2 linked regions of the Caenorhabditis elegans genome follow. The protein of the gene in region 2 interacts with the protein of the main gene of each other region in a pairwise test. Each region holds a gene or a part of one and is shown on either strand. Other genes may lie near its edges.

Evidence for each region.
Region 1: the proteins of dyc-1 (region 2) and apr-1 interact in a two-hybrid assay, tested with the Caenorhabditis elegans proteins (one large-scale study listed by BioGRID).

The regions. Positions count from the first base shown.
Region 1 is NC_003279.8:8,047,179-8,053,958, reverse strand, and holds the start of apr-1 (Adenomatous polyposis coli protein-related protein 1), read right to left. Parts: upstream 3,917-6,780; coding exon 3,734-3,916; intron 3,530-3,733; coding exon 3,375-3,529; intron 3,326-3,374; coding exon 2,599-3,325; intron 2,107-2,598; coding exon 1,519-2,106; intron 1,478-1,518; coding exon 1-1,477. Other genes in the region: K04G2.7 (HTH CENPB-type domain-containing protein), read left to right, coding at 4,628-4,787, 5,711-5,804, 5,860-5,957, 6,012-6,241, 6,287-6,478. UniProt on the Caenorhabditis elegans protein: Has a role in endoderm cell specification and pharyngeal development. Required for the migration of epithelial cells, organization of the anterior seam cells and ceh-13 expression during embryo morphogenesis.
Region 2 is NC_003284.9:14,046,112-14,052,891, reverse strand, and holds the start of dyc-1 (Dystrophin-like protein 1), read right to left. Parts: upstream 3,358-6,780; 5' UTR 3,221-3,357; intron 3,065-3,220; exon of another isoform or gene 3,044-3,064; intron 2,078-3,043; 5' UTR 2,065-2,077; coding exon 1,948-2,064; intron 1,728-1,947; coding exon 1,656-1,727; intron 1,120-1,655; coding exon 965-1,119; intron 920-964; coding exon 811-919; intron 1-810. UniProt on the Caenorhabditis elegans protein: Together with dys-1 and hlh-1, participates in a common muscular function.

The sequences.
Region 1 (6,780 bases), on a different chromosome or scaffold from region 2:
GAACTCCTGGGAGTGAAGATGCAGATCCTTTTGGTGTGGAAGTAGCTAAAGCTTTTGAATCTCGTGACGTTGTCGTAGTTTCATTTCTTTGCGATGAACCGCTTCCACTAGAAATCATTGAACAATCGATAGTTAGTTGTGCATCAACTCCATCATCAAACTGAGTCGCATCAGGATCCTCCTCATCTTCATAATCTTCGAAATGATCATAAGTATAGTCGTAATCATCATCATCGACACAATCCATTGGAAGAGATGCATCGATCTCATCGTCAAATCTCATAGTGTTTGCAGCAGCACCAGAAGTTGATGAATTTGGTTCTTCAGCAGTTAATCCAAAACTATCTTCACTACTAGCTTGGCTTTCCAATGACTCCATTCGATGTAATTGTTGTTGTGGAGACCAGTCTGAGCCTCTTGCCACATCAATGCCGTTATGATCGCTGGGCTCATGCGATGCGGTGAATGCGTCGCGGCGATCGGCTTCCTCGTTTTTTGAATGACTTCTTCTCTCTGGCTCGGGTTCAAGATATTGTTGTGTACCAGCAAGTCGTGGAGATATAATTCGACTTTTTGGCATCTCTGACATTATTGATTCCATTAAAAGACGATCTGCATCAGAAGCATCTTGACGACGATTAGGTTGAGTTCGATGAGAAGATGACTTTGGAATCGGTGAGGTATCTGGATGAGACCATGCAGGAGACGATGTTGTTTTCTGAGTTGGAGAGAAGAATCCATTAAGGCGAGGCGAGACTTTCATCTTCGGAGTAGACGACGAAGTAGGCATTTCAGATTGAATAGAACGAGTCAAAAGCTCGTCATCTGTCTTTTGTGCGGCACCTCCTATTATAGCATAATCACCTTCTTCCTCCTCAAGAGATGGACCTGGGAGAACATCATCAGGACTATCCAACTCTTCTGAAGTCTTTCGTGGAACTGTCCCGTTCGGTGTCTGTTCGTGTACCAATATTGGATTCAAAATAGCATAAGTTGGTGTAATAATGTTATCCATTGGCACAGTAGTTGCACCATCACTCCGAGTCATAGTGTTAGCTGATCCACTGCTATAATGTGTAGTGTTCTGCTGTTGAGACGTCAATTGATGATGTTCCGATTCAGTGGATTTAGGTAAATTGAACACCTGAGCACACATTGTTGGAGAAGCTGGAATATCATTGTATGATACAGGAGAAAGAGCACGAGAACTGTTGGCTGCAGTATCCAGAGAAGAATTCCAGTTTGTCATAACACTTCCAGGATTCATCGAGCCGAGACTTCTTTCACTGTTACTTCGTGTTCCCATTACGGTAGATGTGGGAATATCTAGATCGTCATCCGTAGGAGGAACTGGATCAGCTTCCTGAGCTTTTTGCATTTGTTGCTGTTGTTGAATTTGATGAAATTGTTGTTGTTGCTGCTGAAGGTACATGATTTGTTGATGATGTTCCATTTGCGCTTGATCCTCCGTCTGAAACTAAGAGAAAATTACAGAAAAAAACGCTGGAAAATCGTTACCATAATTTGTTGTTGTTGCTGCAATTGATAGATCATTTGTTGTTGCTGATGTTGATCCATTTGTTGATTGTAGGACTGTGCCATCACAAATCCATTTCGTTGAACGGCAAAATGTCTTGGCAGACTACTAGATCTTTGATCAACTTGTGGAGTCTGTATCAACTGTTGTTGAGCCTGTGGTTGTATATATTTTCCAGGTGATGCTCGAGTTGCTCTCAGTGATAGTAATCTTGGTGACGCAGTTCCATGATAAGCATGATGAGATGTTTGCATCTGAAGTTGTGGCTCCGAAAGCATTTGCATCCCTGTGGCTCCTCCTCCAACAGAATGTGACATATCACCATAACGATGACTACACGGTTGATTAAGAGTATTCAGCACAGACTTCACTGCTGTCCGAATATCATCACGATTCGAGTTTCGGAGTACGTTGAGTTGCTGTACTGCAGCCATATCCTGCCGAATCATTTGCTGCATGTGGGGATCTTTGACAATTAGGTTTGCAATAGCTCCTAGAGTATTTGTAACACAAGTGAACGAGGCACTCTTGAGCAAAGTGAGCATTCGAGTGATGAGCAAGCTTCTTAGCTGAAATTTTATTGGATTAATTGAAATAATGATATTTGTTCAGTTTGATCAATTTTATGTGCAAAAGGGAAGTGTTTGTGGGTTCTTTTGCCTAAAAACTTCAACTGACACAAAACCATCGAATTTCGTAATTTCTCAAAAAAAAAACCTACTTACTTCTCAAAAAATTTACAAAAAGGTGAAAAAAAGGGTAAAATTTTTCCAAAATTTTCTTTTAAAATCCCTGTTGAAGAAATCACTTTTTGTGGCATATTTTTCTGACTTTTATCTCTCGTTAATTTATTTAGGCACATTTTAAGTCGATATTCAGAAATGTCCAAAATTGGAAACAAGCGCAAGTTGACGAAAGATTTAGCAAGATTTGGATTTTTTTTTGCAAAATTTTGACTCGCCATGAAATTTTTTTCGATTTTTTTCTTTCTATTTATGAAAAAAAAAGATAACTTTGAAACCTCACTTGCATTTTTCAACAAAAACAAATCAAAAACTAACCTCTAAATGCGTGGAAGTATTCGCGAGATATTGTGATACATACTTCAGAATTCCAGTAGCTGAATCAACAAGTGACGTGAATCTTGCATCAGGAGATAGAAGGCTGGCTAATACTTTTAAACAATTCGGAGTATCACAAATAGTTCGTTTATTCTCTACTGAGTGACCAGCAAGATTCCACAAAGCAGATAATGTTGCTGTAACATCGAATCTATGTGTATGTGCATGTACTGCAGCAATTGAAAGTGCATGAACTGTTGGTTGAAGAGCTTCACTCATTCCTGAATCGGCGTTCCATGAGAGATTTCTGATTAGTCCAGCGTATACTTGAGTTATATTTGGAGATTCGATCACAATTCGAACAACGCATCGAATGAATCCATCATATGAGCATAGCCGGCGTTTAGAGTGAATTTGACCGTATGTTAAATTCGTAAGAGCATTGGCAATAAGTTTTCGAATATTTCGATGCTCTCCAGGATTGGTCTCATTGATTCCAAATGTGTGAACTTCAAGAATTAAAACTTCTGCAAGCGCTTCAACAAGTCCTAATACTGTAGCAACTTTTCGATATTCTTCTCCAAATGATTCCTTAACGATTGTGTGAAGAGCTGCATTTAGTCGATGATAATAAGAAGCTGGTGGTGTTGATGGTTTCCTTCGAAGATAATATACTTGTTCTCTAACACAGTTTGACGCAGGAAGAGCTTTTTTCAGCCGTCTTTTTCTAAAATTAAACGATTTTTTGAAAAATATTCTGAAAATTTCGGATTTACCTGTTAACATCAGATTCACTCGTTATCAATGCAAAAATCTTTTCGTGAAGTTCTCGAAGTTTATTATCATCTTCATCGGTCGGAACAATATCACGTTTGTGTTCGAAATGTAGAGATGAAAGAAGAACTGTTATAGCATCGTCAACCTCGATCGCCTGTAATTAAACTTTTAAATATTGTATTTTCAGAAAAAATAGTTAAAAAGCTTAAAAAATACTTTTATATTCTAATTTTTTACGCTCCGATTTTTTTTACTTAGAAGACCATTGTACAGGTACAAAAATTGCTCAAATTCCTCAAAAAGTCAAAACTTGGCCTTTTACCAACATCGAAAATCTGTTTTTTCCAACAATCCTTACCGTATCTTCGCGAAATCTTGCATAATGCTCTTCTTCATCATCTACATCACTAACATCATGTCGCACATTCGATGTTCTTTTTGATGATCCTGCTCGAGGTTGTGAGTAGATTCCACTTCCACCGGTATTTGATCCTGTTCTGTGTATCGTTGTTTCATTTTCATCACTACTACTAGAGCTCATCTGAAATTTAATTTTATTATTTTGAATGATCTTTGATATATTTGAAGAGAATATATAAGAAATAGAAAAGGTACATCAATGTATTCCAATAAATAATAATTGTTAAAAATCACTCTTTTAACAAATTAATATTTGAAAACAAAAAATTGTTAAGCTTTCAAAACAAACTCAAAACCTAAATTTTTCTTGTTATATTGTTGGTTTTCTGAATGATTTCAATTTTTTGGACCGAAAATATTTCTTGTTCCAGCTTGAATAGCACTTTTAATTAAACTCCTTCGTGGTTTTATTCCCATTTTGATTCGAAAGAACAGGTGTTTACAATGCGAGAGGTGACCGTTTTTGCTGCTATTCTTCAATTTTCAAGGCCGTAAAAACAACATGGAAAACTATGCTGTCCATGGTTCAAAAGTACTCGAAGGCCAGCCACGAACCCCTCGGTTGAAAAAAAAAGAAGAAACAGAGATGAAGTCAATCGGTTTGACCTTCAGAAAACCGAAGAAACGCAATGTAAATATGCAGTGTCGAGTGTATAACTATACAGGGAGGGCGCCACACAGTACACTACGTGTTCCGCAGTTCCAAAACCGGCGCACGAAAGGTAAAAATGGTTTGCAACCAACAAGATGAATCGGAAGGAGGCGTTTGAACGGGGGTAAAACTAAGAAGAAAAAAGACAAGAGAATAGTTCATTTTGTGTATTTGCGTTGAATGGCAACTACTACATCTACTTCGAGTCCTTCAACATCTTCTACATCTAGCTCGTCGAACTGTCGTATTGAAGAAGGCGAGTTAGAGCAGAAACTATTTAATGTCTATAATGAAGAGGTGAAGATGTGCGATAGCAATGGACAGAGTACTCAACATATAGGTGAGATTTTATATATATATATATATATGATACAATTTAGAAGGTGGGAATGGAAAAACTGGGAGACGGATGTAATGGTTGATTTAGGCTGAATAGGTACGAATAGAATGTTTCTCTGTTTATTTTAACAATTTGGGTGATGTACGTTCGCTAAATGTTTTCCAAAAATTCAGTCGACCCGACTAGGTTCTGAACATTCAGACTTTTTCTATTCATTATTATACATTCACTTAAAATTATTTTTGAAAAATCATGAAATTTGGGTTCGGTCACAATAAAAATTCCGGAGATCTTGGCGAGACCCACCGATAAAATAATCGTCTACCTTTAAAATGGAGTTAGATCTTGCCACGAAATTATGATATTCAAATTCAAATTTCGCGCCGAAAAAATAGCAGAAAAGGATACAGAGATATTAGGCAGATAGAGAAAGTGTGTGTAATCCCACCTACTGTTTTTCCTCTCAACAAGCCAATTTGGTTGTTGCTGTTGAGAAAGGGGCAGATTGCGCGACGATTGCGTAGTCCCTTTCTCTAGTCAAGGGTATTTGTGTTGGGTAGCAAACACGCCACCACTTTTTTGTGGTCCCATCAGGAATCTTATGTCCCAACACAATAGGGTTACCGGAATGAATAGAACTGTAACTAACGAGGTGTGAAAATTTGAGTGATGAGATACGACAGTTTTCATTCATAAAATGACTTTCCAATGATTTTGGAGTATACTTTTTGAACTGAACAGGCCTTTTATATTATGTGAACATATACCCTGCACAATATGGGTAATTATAATGTTCATATATGGCTTCCAAATTAGACCGTAGTATATCGAAGCACAGATAGAATACCTAAAGTTGATAAAAGGATCAACTAATATATTTGAATCAAATTTGAAAACTTAAATAGAAAAAAAAGTGTTTTAAGGAGACGAATGGATGAGGCGTGAGATTCGCAGAATTTGCGGCTTCGATGTCTCTGATCGGTGGATTAATTTGTTTCGGAAGAAACATGGAATCCGGTGAGGACTTCTACATCTTCTATATGACCTAGATAATTTATCTTTCGTTTTTTAGATACTTTAGTGGACGCCGCCACGCCGACAAAAAGGATAAGACGATAATTCTGTCGGCGTTGGATGTAACAAAGATGAAGACGACTAACTTTCTGAAGAGTCAGTTTTTTTTCTAATCCATTGATTGATGAGCTTAAACTTGTTTTTTTGTAGAACGAAGAATATTGCGAACGAGTCGAAAGGAATATGCTGATGTGGATTTACAAGTCAATAAAGAAATCGTGAGACGCCAAAATAAAGGCGAGCGTCTAACGAATCCATGGATCAAGGAGTATGCTCAATATGTTGCCTATCAGTTGCATCCAGAAATACCGGATATTGCAAAATTTTTTGATGCAAACTGGCTTTACAGATTCAAACGTCGTTACTGTGTCGAGTTAAAGGTGGCTTTGAATGACTTCCTATATGATCTGAACTCAATATTTCAGCCAAGAAGTCCAGAAGAAAATACAAGATCAACGCCACAAACAACGTCCAACGAGGACATAAAATCATCAGCCACCTCAATGGAAGTGGTTACATCTCCTAACTATTTATTTCCACATCACTATTTCAATTTATTCGACCAAAATGGGTGTGGTGCTTCTATAGTTAAACAAGAGCCGACGAGAGAAAATTAAAAGTGGATGACGAAACAATGATGACTCATATCTTTTACTTTTACTTTAGTTAAATAGTATCAATATTGTGATAGAACTGACCGGTTGCTTGCATATTCAAACTATAAAAATGAATTTGTTTTAAAATTACCAGAAATTAATATATGGAGTCGGATGAATCAATTTATAGTTGTCGGCAAAGGATACAGAAGGAAAAGAACACATAAAAATAAAAAGAAAACCAGTACTATAAAGTCAACGAAAATGCCGATGTCCGTCGTCGTCTATTTCTCAACCATAGAAATAGAGACATATAAATTGTG
Region 2 (6,780 bases):
CTAGGATAGGCCGAGTGTAACCTGGAAGTGGAAGCCAGTGAATGATGTTGTGTAATTTACGATGGCAGAAAACAATGTTATTGATTTTTGTTCTTTTTTTTAAGCCAAAATATTGCTTTTTTGATCCATACATTTTATTTTCTTGCTTTCAAATGAAGTATAATCTGTGAAAATACTTAGGATTGCATGGTAATTCTGATTATCATTTGTTCTTTCTTCGATAATTTTTGTTCAAAACGTTTGAAAAATACTTATTGCCACAAAAAATTTGAATGAGTCTTAGAGCTTATTATCATCTTAAATCACGAAATCTTCAGCAAGGTCTGTAGTTTTTTAAATGAAAATTGCATTTTCTTGATAGTAGAAAAATGTTTGGGTAGTGTGGACAAGTGTGTAGACAATTCAATTTTTCAAATTGAGGGGCATTTACAGAATTACAAGAGTAGTATCGCCAATATGAAAAAAAAATTTTTGAGTCGGATAATATTCTAAATTGTGAACAAAATCAGTTTTTCCGCCACTTCTCGAAAATGGGAAGTTTCGGAAATGTAACACCTGTGGGAACTGATTAACAACGCGTTGGGAAATTGTATAGTGATTAAACATCGGTATTCATTTCTATAAATATTATTCAAAAAAAATTCATGTAATACATACTTAATTGAAAACCACATAAATTTTCAAATTCGATAGTTTCACCATATACAAAAAATTCAACATTTTAACTTTTTCGACGCTCTTTCTAAAAAAAAATTTGATCACAGTACTACTTCAATAATAATAATAATAATATTGAAAATAATGACTAACCTTTTTAGAACACTTAAATACATTGCATTTAAATGTGTTACTAGCTCCATCCCGTGCAATGTAGGAAAATATTTGAAGATCTTGAGAATCATGTGACACGTAGAATATCCTTCAAAATTTTTACAATAACAATTTTACAGAAATTTAACAATACCTGTATATTGGGTGAAACATGACAAGTAATTTAGATTCATCCCAAGAGAGACCTTTCTCTTTCTGTTTCTTCCGCTGAAGAACAACTTTGACACCATCGACGGATACGGTAATGTCGACCGGGCGTTTTTTGATACCACGAGCTTTGAATTCGTACTGAAAATGGTTTTATTCAATAATCAAGGAATTAGGAAAATAGATTTTCAAAAGCGTTTTCTTCAAACACTTCAATTTGGTTGTTTAAGAAAAAGTCAGTCAAAATCAACAAATATGACACGGTCAAATTCAAATTCACATCGATGATATGCTTGTTCAAATATTGATTGCTTATGTTTCCTTAATCAACAAAAAAAGTTTTAGATACGACTATAGGTTTTAGGTAAAAAAGTATCAGCTTTTTTGCAGTGTGGCAGATTATTCAATCAACGCCTAGCATTTACTGACTTTAATATTGATTGATTTAACAAACGAAAAAATTGTAGAGAAGAAAACACTAGCAAGTGTAGAATTTGTAAAAAATTCAATAAATTATGATCTTTCAAAGTATTACGATTCTATTTTCTACACTACTAATAATAATGTTGCAACCATGTAATTATACAAATTTTAGATTATACTACTAATTTTCAATTGCAAATTTCAGCTCATTTTGAATATATCTCTATTTGCGAGTTTTTATAAAAAAAACTCACTCGAACTCGTCGCATCGCCGCCACAATCTCGATTCTCGTCCCGGGTCTAGGAATTTCCATGCTTCCGACATACTGCAAAAACCCTTTTTGGATTAAATCCAGTAGTTTTGTTTTTGTTTTCTTTTTGAAAGAAAAAAAAAACTAAACTTCCCACTATGATTAAATTTGCAAACGCGTTAGGACCAAACTTGAAGACAATCTAATCTACACCCTCCGGGCTTTTCAGAATATTCAATGTTCGTTTAAACAAGATTAGCGTTGTACAAACATTCGAATACATCTTTTCACAAACCTTTGCTTCGAAATGAATACCATGCTGATAAGCGAGTTCGTTATGGAGTGGAATACGGCAGTCGTAGACATCGTCGGCGATGATATCGTACGGACCATGCTTTTTCCGCACAGGCATTATATCCTCACCTCTGTAAAATATGAAATAATGATGAAATGGTGGAAATGTTAGTAAAAAAGTATTAAAGAAAAACGGTTAGAGAAGTAAAACAAGATGTTAGATGGTTTCAGCAATAAAAAACATGGGTGTTTTGAAGAAAGTGAATTTTAAACAATAATCAAAAACAAAGTGGTATTAGACACTCGGCAAATCGCTGTTAGTACGGGAGGACGTATGTCGATTACAAATTCCTTGTTATAAACATAACATGTTTAAAAAAACTGAATGAATGTCAATTTTAATAAAGTACAGAGCCTCTGGTTTGTAAATGTTTTTTATTAATAATATTACTGGATTGCGTTTCCGTAATAATACATCTTTTTTGCACTTTCTACTTGACCGAAATGTTTTCGTGCAGATGAAAATAATGAAAATTAAAATATTTACATGATACTACGCAAGACAACATTTTATCAGAAAGAAAATTTGGACTTTAAAACTATTTTCACGCAGAAAAGGCCATGAGGTTTCAAAACCAATTTTTTGTTAGGTTAAGATAGGGCTGGTAATCCAGAGGACTGGCCTTTCCGAATGTACTGATTTTCGGACAATCGGGCGTTCGGTTTTGAACATTCGTGGATTTATGGGAGCGTATATCCCGACATTTTTTTGTGTTCCGCGTCTCATTGTGATAATGCGTGCGTTTCTATAGTAAGCAGCGGAACCCAGAAAATGTCAGGATGTAAGCTCCCCTAATTCCTGTGATAAAAAAAATTTCCACCTTATTTTGCCACCCATGGTGACTCCATGTGGGCGGACGTCCAGATGGCCAGCCCTAGGTGGAAAAATAACAAAAGTTGAAGTAGTGCCAGAATGTTATTTATGCTGAAAATCAGCAGAAAAAGAGATAACATTTTCAACAATTTTCCGAATGTATTGATATTTTAGTCCATGTTTTAGGTACACTATTAGAAATTCATTTTAAAAATTACTATGCTTTCAACTGTAAATTAACAAAGATTTTTTGTGCACTTTGAAGAAAATTGTTAGTTTCATATTCTGACTTTTCAGCCCCTAAACAACTTTCCTACTGATGCTACTCCGTTTCTAAATGGACAATAAACACTTGTTAAACATTTCTGAAAAAAAACGCTCACTCAAAACCGTATCAAACCTTCAACTGCATATCGAGTATATCAGCTACCATGAGCCAGTATACTACGAAGCAATTGTCCGATATCAGGACAATTTGGATATCGTATTGAAACTGGTGGTGACGTTGGAAAACGTTGGGTGAAGAGGTGAGGTTCGCTGAAAACTCAGTGATTAAGCTGCTAAAAATGACAAAAAGGGCACACTATGAAAAAAGAGCAAACGAGGAAAAATAATTGAGTGATGATGAGAAATGATGAGGAACAATGGGCCAAGTAGATGGGGGAGAGAGGAAATGAAAGAAGAAATGAATAACTCATGCGGCAACGCAATTTTAAACACTAAAACCAAATATTTTTGCTTCTGATCATTTTCCTGGAGGAAAAACGGATAAGGGAGTATTGAACAAAAGAGCAAATGCAGAGAAAAGTGTAGGTAGTGTAGCTAAAAGGACTTTTAAGGAAAGTGGACTGACCAAAAGTCCGTCCGCAAATTGAATATGAGAATGGAAACAGGAGGAAAACGGAAGCCGATGTTAAGAAGGAGGGAAAGAAGTTTAGGATGATGGGGGGGGGGGGGGGGGGGGGGACAGAAGAAATAGAAGAAGTTGCGAGCCGAACAAAACTGGAAATTGGTTGGTTGGGAGACCGATGAGCGAGGTTCCCTGGAGACGTTTTCAAATAGGAATATAAAGATTGAAGATGTGTTGAGAGAAAAAAATAAAATAAAAACGCAAAAAAAGAGGAGGGGCGCCTACAAAACGGCTACAAATATGATTGTCAGTGCGGGGGAAAGATATTTCTACTTTCATGGATTTGAAATGAATAAATGTAATGTTATATATATTATACAATACAAAACTTGTGTTACTGTATTTTTCAAGTAGTTCCATGCTTTCATATGAATTTTTAAAATTACCATTATTACTAACACAGCACGTGATGGCAAGCGGTCTCATTACGATTTGATTTACAAAAAAGGCGACGTCAGCACACCTTCAAAAATGCCAAAAAAATCTGTCGAGAAGTCTGCGTCTAGATCCCCGCACATTCCGTAGATCTACGTAGATCAAACCAAAATGGGACACTCTGACACCAAGTGACACAACTCTTATAAACTCGTTTCTCTGATTGATTAGTTGAAAAAAGCTGATAGTATTCACTACAAAAGCAATGATACAAGGAAAATTAGTGCAATATCAAACATTTCGGATTGGTACAAGTAGAATGGCATACCAAACCATTATCGCAATGCATCTAAAAATAATTCAAAAAAAAATTAATGTCAGTTGAATTTCCAACATTGTGACAAAAAATGTGGTGTTAATTATTTTACGTGGTTTCGTATACTGAAAAACTGTATTTATTTACATGTTGATGTCAATGTGAAACATGATAAAAACAAAAAAAAAGCTTCACTATTTAGGAAAACTATATGAATTAAAAAATTACACATAGTTTGCGATTGGGAAACAAATTTCAAAAAAAAGGAAACCATACTTTTTTTTAGATATTGGCAGTAGCATAATGCACTAGAGCAAATATACGAAGTTATATTCTAGAAATTTGAAAGAAACGCAACAAAAATCAAGATGAAAGCATGCAAGTTTTGCTCTTTATATATCGTCTCATCACCCGTTCTTCTGCGACATTGGAAGCAATTATCCACACTATCACTCAGTTCCTAATCGATTTGAAAATAGAAAAAAAAATCGGAAAATGGAGGACAAAACAGGGGCAAAAAGAGAAAAGCGGTCGGCGGGGAAAAGAAAACGAAGAAGCGGTTGCGTGTGTGCCGTACTCTCTCATCGTCTTGTCTTGCGCAATTAGTTGTGATTTTAGGAAGCATGCGTGTGCATGTATGGGTGCACTTGTAGCTGATTGACTTATGCGCATCTCCTTCTTTGATAGAATTGCCGAGTAGAAGAGTTTAGATTTGTTGGAGTGATGGAGAGGAGTCACCGCTCCTCCTCATCCTATTCCTCCACATCTTCTTTTTTATTGTGACTGACTTTGTCGGGAGCCTTGCTCCAAAAACTTACTCTATCTTACTCTATCTACCACATCTTCGTCTTCTTGCGTTGGCCTTTTTCCGCCAACATTTTTGATGTAATGTGTCTTCGGAAGGCGTCTGAATAGAAAACGAAGCAGAGTTGCATGTTTTTCGGCAGTTCTTGGATTAACTTTTGTGGATTGGAATGTTTGTCAGAATTAGATGTGGAACCATCAACTTCAAAAACATTTGGGCCAAGATCATGTTGTGTAATTTAAAAATAACAAAATTATACTTATACTGAAAGAGTTCCAGTTGTGATAGCCAAATTCAAAATAGTCTAGCCCTGCATTGTAAGTACATATAATACGATGAGGCCAGGATAGACCTTTAGTTTTCAGTTTTTGCAGCGTCAATGTTATATATCATATTTAAAAAAATGTTACAGTTTGACACCAGAATTTTAATTTTCAGAAAACGGTTAATTGTGCAAATACCTATTACAATCTAAATGAATCAAATATTGAGGGTATTTATATTTTATTAAACATTGAAGGTTAAGCACCAAAATCTGAGGCTTTTATTTTTTAGACCCAAAATTGCACAAAAATTATCGAATTTTGTAATGAGACGTATTGAAAATTCTGGAAAAAAAGCTCATTTTCAGCTAAAATTAATTTTTTTTCCCAACTTCTCGGCGTCGCAGCGTCTGGAACTCAATGTTAATTAAATTATCACTCTTTGATAAATATTGTGGTGTTTAATTAGGCGTTTATTATATGGGTTAAAAAAATTGTATTTTGTCGTGCTCACAATATAAAATGCTGCACAAATACATTTTAAACTTTTTTAAAATAAAGAAATACAATGACCGAGCTCCAAATTGATTCAACTATCGCAGTTTCAAGAATATTATTCAAAAAACCTGTTTTTCGAGAATTTCATATTTCAACCAGTTTCAGAAAAAAAAATCTGAGAACAACGAAATTTGGATGACAAGAAAAAAAAGAAGGAAAAAGCGCACAGAAGGAAACAGAGGAATAACAATCTAAACAAGAAGACGTCGTTGATTAGCTACTTGAAAAACGTTCAAGAGTCCATACGAAATTTCATTTCCAGAATGTACGGCATGTGACTCTCGAAAGATTGGCACCAAAAGACAGAAATTGTTAAAAAGAGGAAGGAAAATGAGCATTTTCAATTTTCACAAAGACAATAGTGTCAAGACTCGCGTTTCGTATGTGCAATTGACATTGTTCAGTACTAATATGGATGTTAACCAAAAAACATGGATCTGTGTTTTTTTGAAAATTATTTTAGGCTGAACGGATATTAGGAAGCTGCTACAATTTATTCGAAAAGCTGTAATTTTTAAGTTGATAGTTCAATTGAAAACGCCTCGTGTATAAAACTTGCACTGAAGGTGTCCTTTGGAGAAATTGAAATTTAGCCAACTACGATTTTTCTTGCAAGAAATGATTTTTCTGAAAATAATTTTCGAACTCATGTTATTAAACCTTTTATACAAATTTCAGTTTGTTTAAAAGCTTTCGTTAACTGATGAAATTTCAATTTTTACAGCGCACAGTG